Linked DNA regions of Caenorhabditis elegans. The protein of the gene in region 1 interacts with the protein of each later gene in a pairwise test. Each region holds a gene or a part of one and is shown in the gene's direction. Other genes may lie near its edges.

Region 1 (7,342 bases):
TATTAGACAAATGAGACCAAAAATGGTTCATAAAAAGCCGGTTTCGAAATATTTTCGAAATAATTGCAAAACTGTTGGAATAGTCCAGAAAGGGCGTATTCCAATCCATGTGATCACCCTATCCCTTTTTTCTTGTCGTCGTTCCTCCACTGATTAAATATCACATTGATCATCATCGTCCAACGTGAAGAAAAGGCGGGAGCGACAAAATGGAACTGCCTATGCCTCTCTCTGTCAATTGGTTCTGACTCATCTGAAATAGGGTAACTTTGACCGGCGGCCAACGCCCTTCTCTTTTCAAAATGGGTATATAACAACGCCAATGTCAATCGAATATTCAGAGCACACGACTCAGCTGTCATATTTTTTTGAGAAAAAGTGTTTTTATCTGAAATTTTCAATTTTCCGTTTTCAAACTTAAGTGACCCCTTCCGGTGAACTTTTTTGCCAACCGTCTTTGATGATTTCCATTCCGACCTCCGGTGCCCCCAAAATAACAGTGTTGACAGAGAAACACAGTCAACATTGGCAGACCTCCTTTTGATTGCGCCCCTCTTTTCGCATTCTAACTCTGTTCACGTGGTATTTACCAAAAAAGTCGTCGGTGGGGTCGGCGAAGATTCGAGACGAAGGTGAGAGCGGTTAAAACCACGCCCAAAACTCTCCAACCTTTCCATGCAAGACAGAACTTATAAAAGCTTGCAAGATTTGTGTTCCGGCTTTTAGAGGTTTTCACTTTTTGTTCACCGATTCTTAACTTCCATTAAAAATTAAAACTATGATAGCGCACATTGTGTGACATTGTGTTTTGGAACAAAGGTTAATAGTTATTAGGTTTTATGTTAAACTGTGTGTTTTTGTACTTCATCGTTTCATTGCTGCCGTTCCCCATAACCGGAATAACAATTATTATTTTACAGAAGTACCACACCCCCAGTTCAAAAAATGACTCTTGCAACCCGTCATGCCGATTTCACTCGTGACAAACTCTGGAAAGAGAACGACCTGTGGCTCGACGATTTCCGTGATTGGCCTCTTGATTGGCCAAAACCAAGGGACTTTTTCCACCGGGTATCCAATTCATTGGGGGCGGCTTATTAGTTTCCGATAGTCAATTGTTAGAAATAGGCATAGGGGGCTATTCATCCGCGACCTACCTCTACACGCTCTTCACTCTGGCTACTATTATATTTTGCCAGGCGTTTTACTGTTCAAATCCGGTCGTCGTCGTTGGTCTACTTGACAGCCCTACTCGAATTTACGTACATATACACCATTAAGAGAGTCAAATCTCACTGCTTTCCCCTTCTTGGTTTATTTGTTCCATGCCAACTGAAATTTGGCAGTTTTCACCAGTTTCCCCTAAATTTTCCTCAAATTCGAATGCTCTCTCCTTTTCAATCTGAACAAACATTTTGTTTTTTTTATCATTTGAAAAAAAAGTGAAAAGAGAGGAAATCGGCAGCCAATTTCTCCATCGATGAATCAGAATATTTTGTGAATCATTTTTTTTTTTGCATTTCAGTTCTCCCGTGACGTCGACAGTTGGTGGAAGGATTGGCCAACCGATTGGCCCCGTATGGACGCCGTCATGCCAAGAGTAATAATTCAAATCGCATGAACAGAAACACATCGAAACTTTTTTGCAGTTTTCCAGTCAACTTGATCGCATGGATCGCAACTGGAGGAGTGATCCATACTGGATGAATCTCTACCCAAGATGGGCTGAGCCAATCTTCAAGGAGGGAATTGACGTAAACTCCAATGTGGTTAATGATGATCGTAGATTTGCCGTTGACATGGATTGCTATCAATTCCGTCCTGAAGAAATTCAAGTGAAAACTCTTGATGATACTCTGATGATTGAGGGAAGACATGAGGATATTCGTGATAAAGATAACTTCACCAAAATGTACTTTGTCAGAAAGTACCAACTTCCAAGAGACGTAGACTTCAACTCGATTCAAAGTAGTATTGATGCCAAAGGACGTCTTCAAGTTGAGGCTGGAAAATTCAACAACATGGCATTGCAAGGTCGCGAGCGTATGATCCCAATCGAAGGAGCCGGGCACCATTCACCAAGATTTGAAAATGGAACACTCCGTTCGCAACGAGGACCAAACTCGCCAATTCATGTCCAGACTGAGCACGACGGGAGGAGCGTGTCTAGCAGAAGTGGATCGCGATTGAATGATAGTCCAGGATCGAGAGACGTGTATTCTTCTCATTCTTACAGGTAATCCTACAGATAATGATAGTGAGTATCTGAAAATAAAAATTTTCAGCTACCACCGCAGCGACTCTCGCAATCGTCTCTCCCCAAATGATGTTAACATCACTAGAAATGACAACCGAACATATAGCCCAGTCACTCCTCGTATCACAACAAGTGGTAAGTTTTTGAAAATACATAGTTAATTCAAATTTTCCAACTTTCCAAAACACTGCTTTCTGTCGTGTTCTCTTTCCACATTTCATTTTTCTTTCTATTTCTCTTTTCTATCTAGATCCCATAATTACCTTCAGAGCGGACAGTAACACCGGAACAGCGGTCGCCGGGTCGAAAAGCGTTCGAAACCATTCGAAACAATTTTGAGCGAGGTCATTTTTGCAATTTCGCACATCGCGTTTCTCTTTTTTAGTTAATTTACACACATTTCACACGAATTACTTCCCACTTCCCTCATCACAATTAGAGTAAACTTCCAACAGTTTACTGACAATACTTTGGATTTTCTCATCAATCACAAATTAACTACAACATTAACATGTTGCGCCTTTGGTCAAAAATGATCGTTAATGACACATTATTTGTTGAAAACTTGGATTTTGAAAATTCGAAAGTTTTAAAATTGGAATTTTAGGGTCATATAATACTGCTGGAAATGCAAATCTTCACGAGGAGCGTTCAAGCTCTCGCGCTCAGTCTCATCGCTCAGAAAGTCGCAATGGAGGTGAGTTTTCGCTATACATTGAGGGTTCTTCAATCAACTGAAGTGGTAAAATTTTTCAGGATACCGGGTCGAGTCACCAGTGAGCACTACAACTGGAATTCTTCGTAATGGAAACTCGGACTCACCAAACTCAACTCAACGCGAGTACCGATCAATTCAAATTCTCCGCAAGACATATTAATTGGACCAAAAACCTTATGCTTTTACTCATACCCGTTCTCCTTCAAAACTTCACAAAATTCTGCCTACAGCTTTTAAAACAAAACAATATATTTTCTGATGCTTCCATATACTCTATTCACAGCTTTTCCACTTTCAAATGTACACCTACTATTATACATAAACATTTATGCTTTTTGTTTACTAATTTTTAGTACGATTTTGTTGGTTTCAAATCTAGAACTTGAGGTGAGAAAAATATGATGATATAGAAAAGATGAAAAGAAAAATGATGGAGCCACAAAAAAAAACAACAAAATACAATCATTTCTCACTTTGATAATACAATCCATTCGACGCTTCTTTTCTATCGATCATGTCCCGTTATCCACCGCTGGTCACCAAAAAAGAAATCATCTACCGGCGTTTTATTGATGATGTGAGTTTAGTCTTAAAAACTAAAGAAGTTATTATTAAAATCGAATTAAAAACAACGATAATTTTCAGATATATATATATATATATATATATATATATTTAAAATGCAATTTAGAATAATAACTTTTTGATAATTGATTGCAAAAATTAAATTTTGACGAAAATTCTAAAACTCCAGTTATTCAAAGTACCAGAAACAATTTTTATTTGTAGCATAATGAACGTTTCGACAATATCGTGAGAAACCCTACATCATATCCTCCAAGAGCTCCAAAACCAGAACGTCCGCAAAATTTGGTTGTAAGTCACAACTATCACTCTGACGTGGAAGCTGAGGTGAGCATTACTCTGCAAAAAATTTGTTTCAACATTTTTGTTTCAGTACCAACTCTCAAAAATCAACAAAAAGTTGGATCGTATTATTGAAATTCTTCGGAGCCCATCGACCAAGGTATGTGCACAAACACAGTTGTATTGTTCTTGCACTAAACCGTCCGAAATGCTTACTTTTTATTCTTTCTTTCTTCTTTTTTTGAAACTTTTCATTCAGAAAACTTCCCAAGAGCCTCCAATCATTGACGTCGCACGCCAGGAGCAAACACGTCAATACAAGGATATTTGCGATAGGCTCGACAAATTGGAGGCTGAGTTAACTGTAAACATACATTGGAAAACAAACCAGAATACCAGATGTTTTAGGGTAAAACTCAGTTTGTTGCGCCTCTCCAAAATGAAATTTCATTATTGACAAATAAAGTTCACGAATTGGCCCAAATACAAGAGGGTTTAAGAGTGAAGCTAGTTTCGAGCAACATTGCAGGAGAAGACATCGATGAACTTTTGGTATGAAAGATGTTAAAAGGAAATCTTCAAAAAAAAACTTTTTTTCAGAAAGTCATCAATGAGACCAGAAGAGATATGGAAGAGAAAATTGGGAATATCAAGCAACTGAGTGACGGAAATTACATTCACCTGGAAGATAAAGTATGCCAAATCATATAGAACCCAACCATAAAACTTGTTTCCAGCTTGATGGATATCTTCGCAACCAGCATGGCATTCAACTCCAGGTAGACCATCTAATGCAGCTTCTGACTCATAGCTCTCGTCCGGCATCTGCTATTGGCTCAAGACCCGGTTCAGCTGCGGAAAAGATGAGGTAAATGATTGAATATATGCATTTATATGTACATATAGGTAACTCCTTATCTATAAAAAAGTTGATTTTATTTAAATTCCAAAATCCATATGTCGCATACCTCTGATCACCACCATGACACAAAATGTTTTTAGTAGTGTTTCCCGCTCATCGTCAAAAAGTTCAAACTTGAAAGCCAACCTTGTCATGCCAACTCGTCGTTCTCCACCACCGAAAACCCCAAGTGAAGCTAGCTACGCATCGACTCGCCCAAAAACTGAGCGTTCGTCATCTCACAAATCGGCAAGCACGGTCACATCATCTGCAACTATCACAACATTGGACAGTGCCAAAAGAAAGCCTCTCGCAAAAAATGCTTCACCAAAGCCACCAAGAAGTCCGGTGTTAGAAGTTTTGGAAAGAACAAAAAGTATTGAAACTATGAGTAAGTTTGAATTTTTTTAAATTTAGTTAAAGAGTTTAGAATAATTTATTTAAACCATTTCCAGATGAAATTCACACTTCTCAAAAGCTCGACGAATTGGCCATCGAAACATCATCTTCTGGCAGTTACATCGCTCCTCTACCCATCAACGGACGTCGTGATTCTCAACCAGCTAACATTTTGCTAACGCAGAAATATTAGGATATTAAATAATGATTGTTTTTTGCAAATGCTTTGGGATATGGGGTATTTCAATCAATTTTTCTAACCTCCGATAACTTTATTTTTTGTCGTCACAACTATATATTGACGCATGCTAGCTTCACATTATACACATGAATTGTCATCATTGCATAGCTACCGTAATATTGAATTCTAATTTTAAAGCTAATGAAGAAAATCAAACGACGCGTTAAATGAAATAGGGCGCACCAAAAAACAAGGGTCGAGTCAGAGTGAACTTTGCTCACAAAATTGGAAAATTCGGGAGCAGAATCAGTTTGAGACTGGCGGGACCTTTCGGAAGAAAAGGCGGTGCAAACATTGAGGTCATCATTCTAGAAAGCGTTTCTTTCGAAAAAAAGTCACAAGAAGACAACTCATTGTCAATTCTCGTAAAAAACAACATGCCACCACCATCATCACATTCAAACATTTTTCATTCGACGTTCAAGCACACCGTTAAAGAAACAATGGCAAATGGTAGGTCATAAATGTGCCCCTTGGCTACAGAGTTATAGACATACTTCTTGAAGTATAATATGTTCCTCGGCCATGCAATATTGGAACAGTGTTGAATTTCATTATTTTGTTTTCCTGAAATCACTTGTTTCATAATAGTTTGCCAATATAACGCTCTGATGTATTCTGGTAGTACCATAAGTAGGAACAGTTCCGAATGTGAGTTTTAAAATAAAAAATCGCAGACAACATTAACGTGAAAAACACTTCCAATCAAGAATGACGAAACCTGATACATTCCTCTTAAAAAGTGTCATCCTCTTCAATTTCGATGTGTCTCGAGATTTTCAATTGTTTCAAAATAGGACTATTATCTGTCACGAGTTTCATTTAAATAATTTACTGCGTACTGCTTAGCTCAAAATGTATTTATCTAAACGATCATGTAAGTTTCACGATTGACAATTATACAGTCCAGTGGAAGTTTGTGACACTCCAAATTTTTGGTTTGATAAAAGTTTGAATGCAAGATAAATGTAAATCTCAGAAAACACAATCTTAATTTTTTGTTATGTCTGAAAAGAAACTGATAATAATTTTGACACAAAATCATCAAGTCATTCATTTTCACGTTTTAACAAGGCTGTCGTTTTCTCAATTTTTTCCACAACTTAGATGGTCTCTTTGAACTTGCAAACACACGGGATAATTTTTTTATTACAAAAAAACGTAGAAGTGTTTCTTGTATTATGTTCACATGCAGTCTATCGGTGCACAAAAGTTATAAAACTTTTGCACCTGCGAAGTGAATTTGCAAAGTGAATTTTTCAAAGCTTTTGAATGAGGGGTATGTTAGATGTTTTTCAAGAAGTAAAGCATTTGACCTCGCTATTTGTGTGTGTGTTTTTTTTATATTATTTTGCGTTGCTTTTTGCGTTTACATGTGCTGAAACTTTAGAAACTACGTTTTAAACAGTGATATTCAGTCATAAAAGTTATTATATAAAAGAAGTTTACAAAACGTCTACAGAAAATACATGAACATTTTATTGATAAACACAAAAGACCAGGACAATGCGGAACTTATTTTTAGATATTCCTTGCAGTTAGCTTTTTTGATAATTTACTTAAAAATTTTTTAAAGTCTTAGAGACAGTCCTTTTTGTGTTTTTTTGCAATTTTGAATCAACTTTTTTCGTACTTCCTAAAGTTTTTTTTGTAGTTTCCTTCCAAATCCGTATTATCTAATATGACTGACTACACTTTTAAGTTTTTTCGACATTTTTCAAGAAGTTTCCAAAATGTATTTCTTGTTGGTATCGGCCCCTTCAATTTCAAAATTGTTGTTTAATTGTGTTAATGTGTGAAAACTTGACTTTTTGGTTGCTTTGAACGGGCGTACCTGTTTTCGCCTCTGAAATTCCATTAAAAACCACCTGCCTTTTTTGATTTATCTTCTGCAAATCAAATCTAACTTGAACGAAAAAACAATCACGAGTATTTAATTAAAAGTTGGCGCGGCTCATT
Region 2 (7,583 bases), on another chromosome or scaffold:
CCGTGGTCGAAATTTACCGTGCTCATTAAATTTTTGTTTCTTCGAAAACTGCAATTTTTGATTGTAAAAGTGAATCCTTTACAATATAAAAGAAATCAGACTACTTATTATTACTATAAAGTTGTTATAAATTTAGTCTTTCAAGACTTGAAGCTTGAAACGCTTGAAAGCTTTATTTTTTCAAAGAATATTTGGTGATTTTTTGCTTGAAATCTTAAGCTCTAGAGTCTCTAGTAATTTAGTTCGGTATTTGATATCTAAAATTCTAATTTTCACTTTTTTCAACTCTCTTTGCACCGCATGACAAGATAACGTAAATTTTCAACTTTTATTTTTCATGATTTGCGCTTACAAATCTGCGTAATCCTCCACCCTCATCATTATTTATTATTGTTGATGTTTTCATTTCTCTCTTCCGGATTCTCTCTCATCTCTCCACTTTTTCATCATTTCAATTGAGTGCCAACGCGTCGAAACGTATATGAAAATTTGCATTGCCTCAATTTTACATGGATTGCCGTATGGAATTCTAGCTCATTCTCTGCGATTTCCCTATTTTTTTGTGTGGTCTCTTGCAGTTTGAAAGTAAAATAGAAAATGCCACTTTCAATCAAGAAAATCAACCAATATAAGTACCTACAATCTAAGTACCCCTTTACACAAAAACTGATAAAATAGTTACGTCGGCGACCACCAATGCCACCGGCCCCGAAAAATCGAAAAAACCGGTTTTCAGGCACGAAACGCCCTGAAAATATTTATGTGAAACATGGGGGGCCTATTTTGTCGTTCTGAAGCGAGTTTTCGTCGGAATTTTATGAGCTTTTCTGCTTCTTCTGCTTTTTGAAATGTTGGAAATAGTTGGCAAAAGTGACACTTATACTGCTAGGCTTTTTTCAAGAAACCGATGACACTGAACATGTTGAGTGTGTTCCGTTTTCTTTGTCATTTTACGACTGTGCGAATTTTTTAGTAATTTTAACTTCTCAACGTCACCTCAATTTCCAGAAACAGGATTTTGAATTTTTTAGATTCAGTTCCAAATTTCTAGATTTTACTGAATTGAAACCGTTGGAAATTTTCACCGTTTTTTTTTTCAAATTTGGCAAAATGCCAATTAGATAGACTCCTTCCTTGAATCGGCTCGGCCAAAATTTTTAAAATTTTGAAAGATCTTCAAGTTTAAGAATAAAATATCAAATATAAATCGATGACCGAGTTTTTTTCGAGGCCAAATAGCAAAAGTCGATCCCTGATTGTTGTTTATTTTAAAATTCGGAAAAAAAAATCTACTAAATTTCAAAATATTGGAATAGAAAATAATAAATAAGTTGTAGTGAGTCATTGTCTCAAAATGCTTATACTTGGTTTTTATGTATTTTTCTTTCTTTTTCTGTTAATCACATTCAATTATTTTTCTTTTCTATTGTTCATTTTCAACCTTCCCGCTGAAATTCTACTATCACACTCTAGTTTTTAAAATTCAGAAACATCGAAAAATGTGAAAAACGTAAGAGTTTTTTCCTTTAGAAATTAAAACCTAAAAGAAAAAAAAAAACGACAACTGCAACATATCGGATATCTTTTCTCACTCACTATCCAAGACCTCAATTGAGTCATATGTTCTTCGTTAACGTTTTTTTTTTTGAAATTTTTGAGTGATGGAAAAGAAAAGCATGAAAAAGAGGCAAATGAGTGATCGGAGAGCAAGGATAGAAGAGTAGGAGGAAGAGGTGGAGTAGTAGCTAGGAAAGAAATTGCAAAAAAAGTGAGAAGATACATTATGTTGTATATATATTTTTTGTCTTTCTCTTTTCTTCTCACCAACTATATGTATACAGTTGGTATAAATAGTGACTGAAATGTGCAGTTTTTACAGTTCTCTTGCAAATTTGCATCTGGATTTTTCTGAAAAAATTGTTTGTGTAAAAAAAGCTGTACATTGTATTTTTTGCGGCAATCTGGATGATTGCGTTTTTGTTTAAAGTAAAAACTTTTTGAAATTTTTTCACTTCTTTTAAACTGTAAACCATGGTTCCAGCAAGCACTTCTACTAGCGTGAGCATACTAACTCTGCCTAAAAAAAACGTAGGTTTTCCAAATCACTTTCGAAATCCAAATTAATTTCAAAATCTAATGACATATAATTATTTGTCCAACTCTCTCCTTATCCCTCCTGCGTATCTCATTTTCCACACCCAATAATTTTTGTCTCTGAGTTCAAAAAAATGAAACGTGCGGGAAGTAAATAAAAAAGATCAGCAGCAGTGGGAAAAACCCCTCGCCACCTGTTAACCTCACAATTTATCAGTTTTGATTGATTTTTATTTCTTGTGTTGTTTCTGATATTTCGACTCTTGTCGGTGTTAACTTGAATTTAGTTGGAATTATGTGAGTTTTGGTTGTTCAATTTTATATATTTTTGTTTTTTTTTGTAGTTTGTTTCACTTGATTAATTTAGAAGCTCAATCTTTATGCCCACTTTGTCAAATTTTCCCAATAAGGATTTCTCGTAAAACTCCAAGTCATACAGATTCTCAGAAGTAATAGTCTTGATAACACTTTATCCCTGTTTTAAAACCTTAAAACTAATCGAAAATAGTTCGAGCTACGGTTCAGCCGCTTTCTGACAAATTGACAACTTCCAAAATCATTTTTTGCATGAAAAATTCAGATTCCAACAACTGGTATAATTTTATAACATTTCTCGCAACCAACCAAATCAAATCATTTATAATTTTCCCTGCATCCAAAACGATCCACGGGAATTCATTCCCATAATTCCATGACTCACACTTTTATTTCCCGCCTATTCTTTTTCTACAATCTATCACATTCTTTCTTCCTTCCATTCTCTGTAACAATTCAATCAAATATATACTATTTTTCTTCACACAAAACCTCGGATTGTTTAATCTTCCTTTTAGTTCTCGAAACTCTTTCGAAAACGTTTATGATGTTCAAATATAGTTTTGATACCAGCGTAGCCATAACCTCTTCTTCAAAACCAACACAAATATTGTACATCTCACATAGGGGAGAACATCGCCAAATTTGAACTATTCTCTCCTATAAAAATGTTTCGACGAAGATCGAAAAGTCTAGCAGTTACAGAACCTACTACTAATGGTACTGTAAAGAAAAAGAGAGGTCATGGGTATGTTGGTACAAACGAAAATTTTTTAGAGCAAATAATTATGTAATTTTCCAACTTCTGTACAACTTCTCACTTTCCTTAACAGCTATGAAAAATATCATAAAATATTTCAATTCCCAATTTTTTCAGGACCACCGTTCGACTCCCCGTTTATCTTCGAGAGATCATCATGGCCGAGCCGAAATCCTTCGTAAGTTTTTTTTTTCGATCATGCAATCTTTCCGGTTTTTGTTTTTTTTGTGTGCATGTGATTCTGTTTTTTGTTTCATTTTTGAGTTTCAAAAATGACAGTTTCCTCCTAATTTGGAAATTCTAACACAAAAAACATTGCGTGTTGTTCTGTTCTACCCCATTACAGTCTTCTCGGAAATGCCACCCCCTTATTAACACAAATAGCCGACTTGGTGAACCATAAAATTGAGGTTTGAATCTTGAAGAAGCACGATGGAGCTTTTTATGTGCTCGAACAAGAGACAATTGTAATTTAGTGTGGGGGTGGTGGTAAAAAGGACATCAAAGATTGAATTTTCATAAGTGGAGAAAGCTTGGTCTGAAAATGTACGCTTGAAGCATTTCTGGAAATTATGTAAATAGAAAGAATGGGAGTAATAAGAAGAAATTTCAGCTAGCTTATGAATTGTAAAGAAGTTACAAAGAACACATTGTAAATTGAAAACATGTTTTTTTTTGTCTGATTGTGAAATTATAAAAATTTCAGTGATATTTTTAGGGAGATATATGAGCTTCAAAGTTTGTTTTGTGCTGGAATACTTATTTCGCTGTCAAAGTAGAACAAAAAGCTGCAAATAGAATATGAACTGTAATTGGAAAAAAAAACATGCTATGCGATGTTTACACCCTCCATACATTCTAATATTCTCCACTTTCAAACAAATCTTCACTTCATTTTAAACTTTTTTTTCTCAAAATATCCACTTCCCAGTTCAAGTTGCTATTTTTAGTTCGAGCCGAGCTCCCATAGGAGCTTATCCTCCTCTTGTTAGGTTATGTGACCCGGGGCTCATAGGAACCACGTCATAAATCTAAAAGCCTTTATGTGCACGAACCGTTAGCACAATCTTCCCCCTCTTTTGCAGAAAAAGTACAATTGAGTCGGTGGAAATTCAAATTAATTCAAATATTTTTGCTTCAACTTTTCTTTTTTTAACTGAAGCCAAAACTGACACAGATAGACATACACATCCGCCTCCCCTTATTTCCATAAACATTTTATGTCCTTTTGCTCTCTTACTCGCTTAGATTTCTCACTCCCCCTTTTGTTAGTTTACCCTTTGATTCATGCTCATTTTTCTTTTTCTCCAAAAATTTATTTGACGTAGACAAATTGTTTTATGCTCTGTGCTCCGGGAAACTTTAGGCTTTAATCCGGTGTGTGTGTGTGCAACTTGTTGCAACAAAGTCAAAATCAGATGCGAAACGGAAATTCCGGGTGTAATCCAATATCAGGCAGAGAAAAATTGAGCAGGAAAAGAAAAGACAAGGAGGATTTCCCCCTCTTCTTTTTGTTTATTTTCTCCTATTTCAAGATTAGTGTCAGTTTTTCATTGTGGGTGGCAGAATCTGCGCTCTATTGGCAACAAGAAAAAGTGAGAATTTGTTGGAATTGAATAATTTTATATTTATTAGCCCATGAGCATGAACTAGGTTTTTGCAGCGGGCATTTGGAAATCTGGAAACAGTTTTTGAACTATTATTAATAATCACAAACGAACCCCATGATTGTTAGCAACTGCCTATTACCAAGTTGCGAAACAATTTCATTTTTGGTCAAAAATTACGCCTCGACACGACTGAAAATTTTCTGAGCAATGGAATATGCGTCATTAAAAGTTTAATAGTTTCGGCTTCCTGTTCTTAATGCTATTTTCTCCTTAACTGCCAAATTTTAAGAGCAAAGTCGATAAAAATTGCGGAACGAACTCTTTAAATGCGCAAGTGAAAATTTTTCGATCGCGTCGAGACCATTTACCGTTATTTTGCCTCAAAAAATCGGATTGTTACACAACTGGATAATATAATTTATGAACAACTTACATAACTTTCTTCTATCTTGCTCTAACGCCATGAACATTTTGAACCTAGTTGGTAGCTGATTTAAACTTTTGAACTTTGCGCCACAAATAGTGACGTATAGCTGTATTCTGCCAAGATTCATGAAAGTTGACATGAGAACTTTACTCTCAACTCAACTTTCCAAAAAACGTTTTTTTCAACAAAAAGTCACATCACACTTTATGTGTATTTTTCTTTCGTTTTCCAACTTCAATCCAGCTGGCAAGTGGCCAAGTGTCAAAACAATAGTAGCCTCTTCCCCTTGAGAAATAGGCCACGCCCACATTTTGGTGGCTCCCTTCCCTTCGTTGAGCCACCGCCCGCCCCAGCATCTACTCTTGAAGCCTAGTTGCTGCTTCACTTTGTCACCCCCACTTGTTCTATCTTCTACCCGAAGCTCCCTTCGTCTAATCCGCCAAACTGTTGTCGATCAAGAATCTTAATTTGGGACTTGGTGACCATGGTCAACTGAGTCCCAAAACGTGGCTTCAGCAATATCAGAAAAAGAACCAAAAAGAGCAGCCGCCGTGTCTGCCGAGTTGCTCGACATCCAGCTCTTGCTCGACGAGCACCTCATCGTGCTACCCACTGGGAACTTGCTACGAAACGATTGGAGATGATATGCCGTCGGTTTGGCACTGTGCCAAATATATCGTAGGACTTTTATTGGGGGTTCTGGGTGCAGATTTTCATCGTCTTCTTGTAGGACCGTGAAAATCTGAAATTCTGTGCAGTGCTTTTTCTTGCAGTGAACTTTAGTTCTAGTTTGTCCAGTTTTGTGTCAGTTCAGTCAGTTTCAGTTTCTCTTTTTTTCAGTTTTTCAGTTTAAATTTCAACCAGTGATGTCCAATCTAACCATCAAGTTTTTGAGTGGCTCCCGATGTTTTTTGTGAAACCGAGAATTTCGGGAATAGCTCAAAAACAAATTCCAACAACTCAAGTTAATATTTCGTATTATTTCAGAACATCCCATACCGTTCCAAGCTCACCGAGCGCATCGAGCCCGGACAAACTCTGATCATTCGTGGAAAGACTATCGATGAGTCCAAGAGGTAATCGAGATTTTGACAATATTCATTCGAATTCTAACCCGAAGAAACTTGCAGGTTCAACATTAATCTCCACAAGGATTCTCCAGATTTCTCCGGCAACGACGTGCCTCTTCATCTTTCCATCCGTTTCGACGAGGGAAAGGTAGGTCATTTGATGTTCGAGCTTCTGACTATTATAGGAACTAAAACCATTAAAACACATACATAAACACACAGAAAAAACAAAGTTTCCGCCCGAGATATACATAAGGCTCGATCAAGCGTATGAGCTATAAAAAATTGGCGCTTCTTTCCATCTTCTCCATCCACATAATGGGTTTAACCGGGGTGACATGAATAGAGGGAGCCCAATGGGACCCAGAAGCTCTAGCTTTCAGACATCAGGAAATTGGCTTGCTTTTGGCTTCACATTTTCCCGTTTCTTCTTACTTCCTTCAAGCTTCTTTTTCTTGATTTCTTTTTGATGATGTTTACCCTTTCGGCATGTGTGAGGGATGATGGTGGTGAGCCGAGAAAATGATTGATCCGTGCTCATTGCCTTGCCCTTCACTCACTCAAATAGACAGTGAATCTGTGTCAGGTGATCCCACACACACACACACACACTCACTCCGTTTCCAGATCATATTCGAAAAGTGGCAGCGAGAAAAAACGCTGAGATCAAGTGTAGGTTTTGAATGTTCACAACTCCCCCTTTCTGATACACCCTAGAATATATGTGTATTTTTTGTGCATGCATCATTTCCACCGAACTTGTTTTTTTAAATGTATAGATCAATTTGGTTATAAAATTTTAAAAATCGATTATCTGGAGTGGCTTCGGTCGACACAAAATTAAGAGGTTAAGAAAATGGTAGAATCTTATTATACTCATAATAAAATTGATAGACCAAAAAACTCGTGATATCCGCAATAAAACGAATACTACCTGGGAAAAAACAAGAAGACCACGCGCGATTGAAATAGTTCAAAAACTGAAAACTTTTGTCGAAAGTCTATAAGTTCATATTTTCGGATCAAGTCGATAAGTTTTAAATTAAAATGAAGATTTATTCATTTTCGCTAAAATTGATGAATTTCAGGATAATTTAAGACATTTCTATTTTAATTTCTGAAATTAAAAATTAAGCTCAATTTACTTTAGAATGCGATTTCGTAAAGCCTACCACAAACAACAAGAAACAGGTGGCTGTAAAAAAATGAACACCGACAAGAAAGTGACTTTCCATTCTAGACTCTAAACAATTTTTTGCAGATCGTCTACAACGCATACACCAAGGGAACATGGGGAAAAGAAGAAC

What was found. Proteins that work in one complex are often made in the same cells at the same time.
Region 2: the proteins of C14F11.4 (region 1) and lec-3 interact in a two-hybrid assay, tested with the Caenorhabditis elegans proteins (one large-scale study listed by BioGRID).

The regions. Positions count from the first base shown.
Region 1 is NC_003284.9:6,229,120-6,236,461, reverse strand, and holds C14F11.4 (AIP3 domain-containing protein), read left to right. Parts: upstream 1-3,413; 5' UTR 3,414-3,489; coding exon 3,490-3,552; intron 3,553-3,764; coding exon 3,765-3,887; intron 3,888-3,933; coding exon 3,934-4,002; intron 4,003-4,101; coding exon 4,102-4,206; intron 4,207-4,250; coding exon 4,251-4,394; intron 4,395-4,442; coding exon 4,443-4,535; intron 4,536-4,579; coding exon 4,580-4,710; intron 4,711-4,844; coding exon 4,845-5,134; intron 5,135-5,198; coding exon 5,199-5,335; 3' UTR 5,336-5,556; downstream 5,557-7,342. Other genes in the region: hsp-43 (SHSP domain-containing protein), read left to right, coding at 946-1,071, 1,526-1,600, 1,650-2,236, 2,286-2,392, 2,527-2,601, 2,865-2,954, 3,014-3,135; lite-1 (High-energy light unresponsive protein 1), read left to right, coding at 5,761-5,836.
Region 2 is NC_003280.10:9,988,083-9,995,665, forward strand, and holds the start of lec-3 (Galectin), read left to right. Parts: upstream 1-3,077; coding exon 3,078-3,157; intron 3,158-3,280; exon of another isoform or gene 3,281-3,286; coding exon 3,287-3,347; intron 3,348-4,174; exon of another isoform or gene 4,175-4,255; intron 4,256-4,372; exon of another isoform or gene 4,373-4,493; intron 4,494-5,537; exon of another isoform or gene 5,538-5,851; coding exon of another isoform or gene 5,852-5,884; intron 5,885-6,060; exon of another isoform or gene 6,061-6,193; coding exon 6,194-6,282; intron 6,283-6,336; coding exon 6,337-6,424; intron 6,425-6,903; coding exon of another isoform or gene 6,904-6,940; exon of another isoform or gene 6,941-7,173; intron 7,174-7,537; coding exon 7,538-7,583. UniProt on the Caenorhabditis elegans protein: Binds galactose.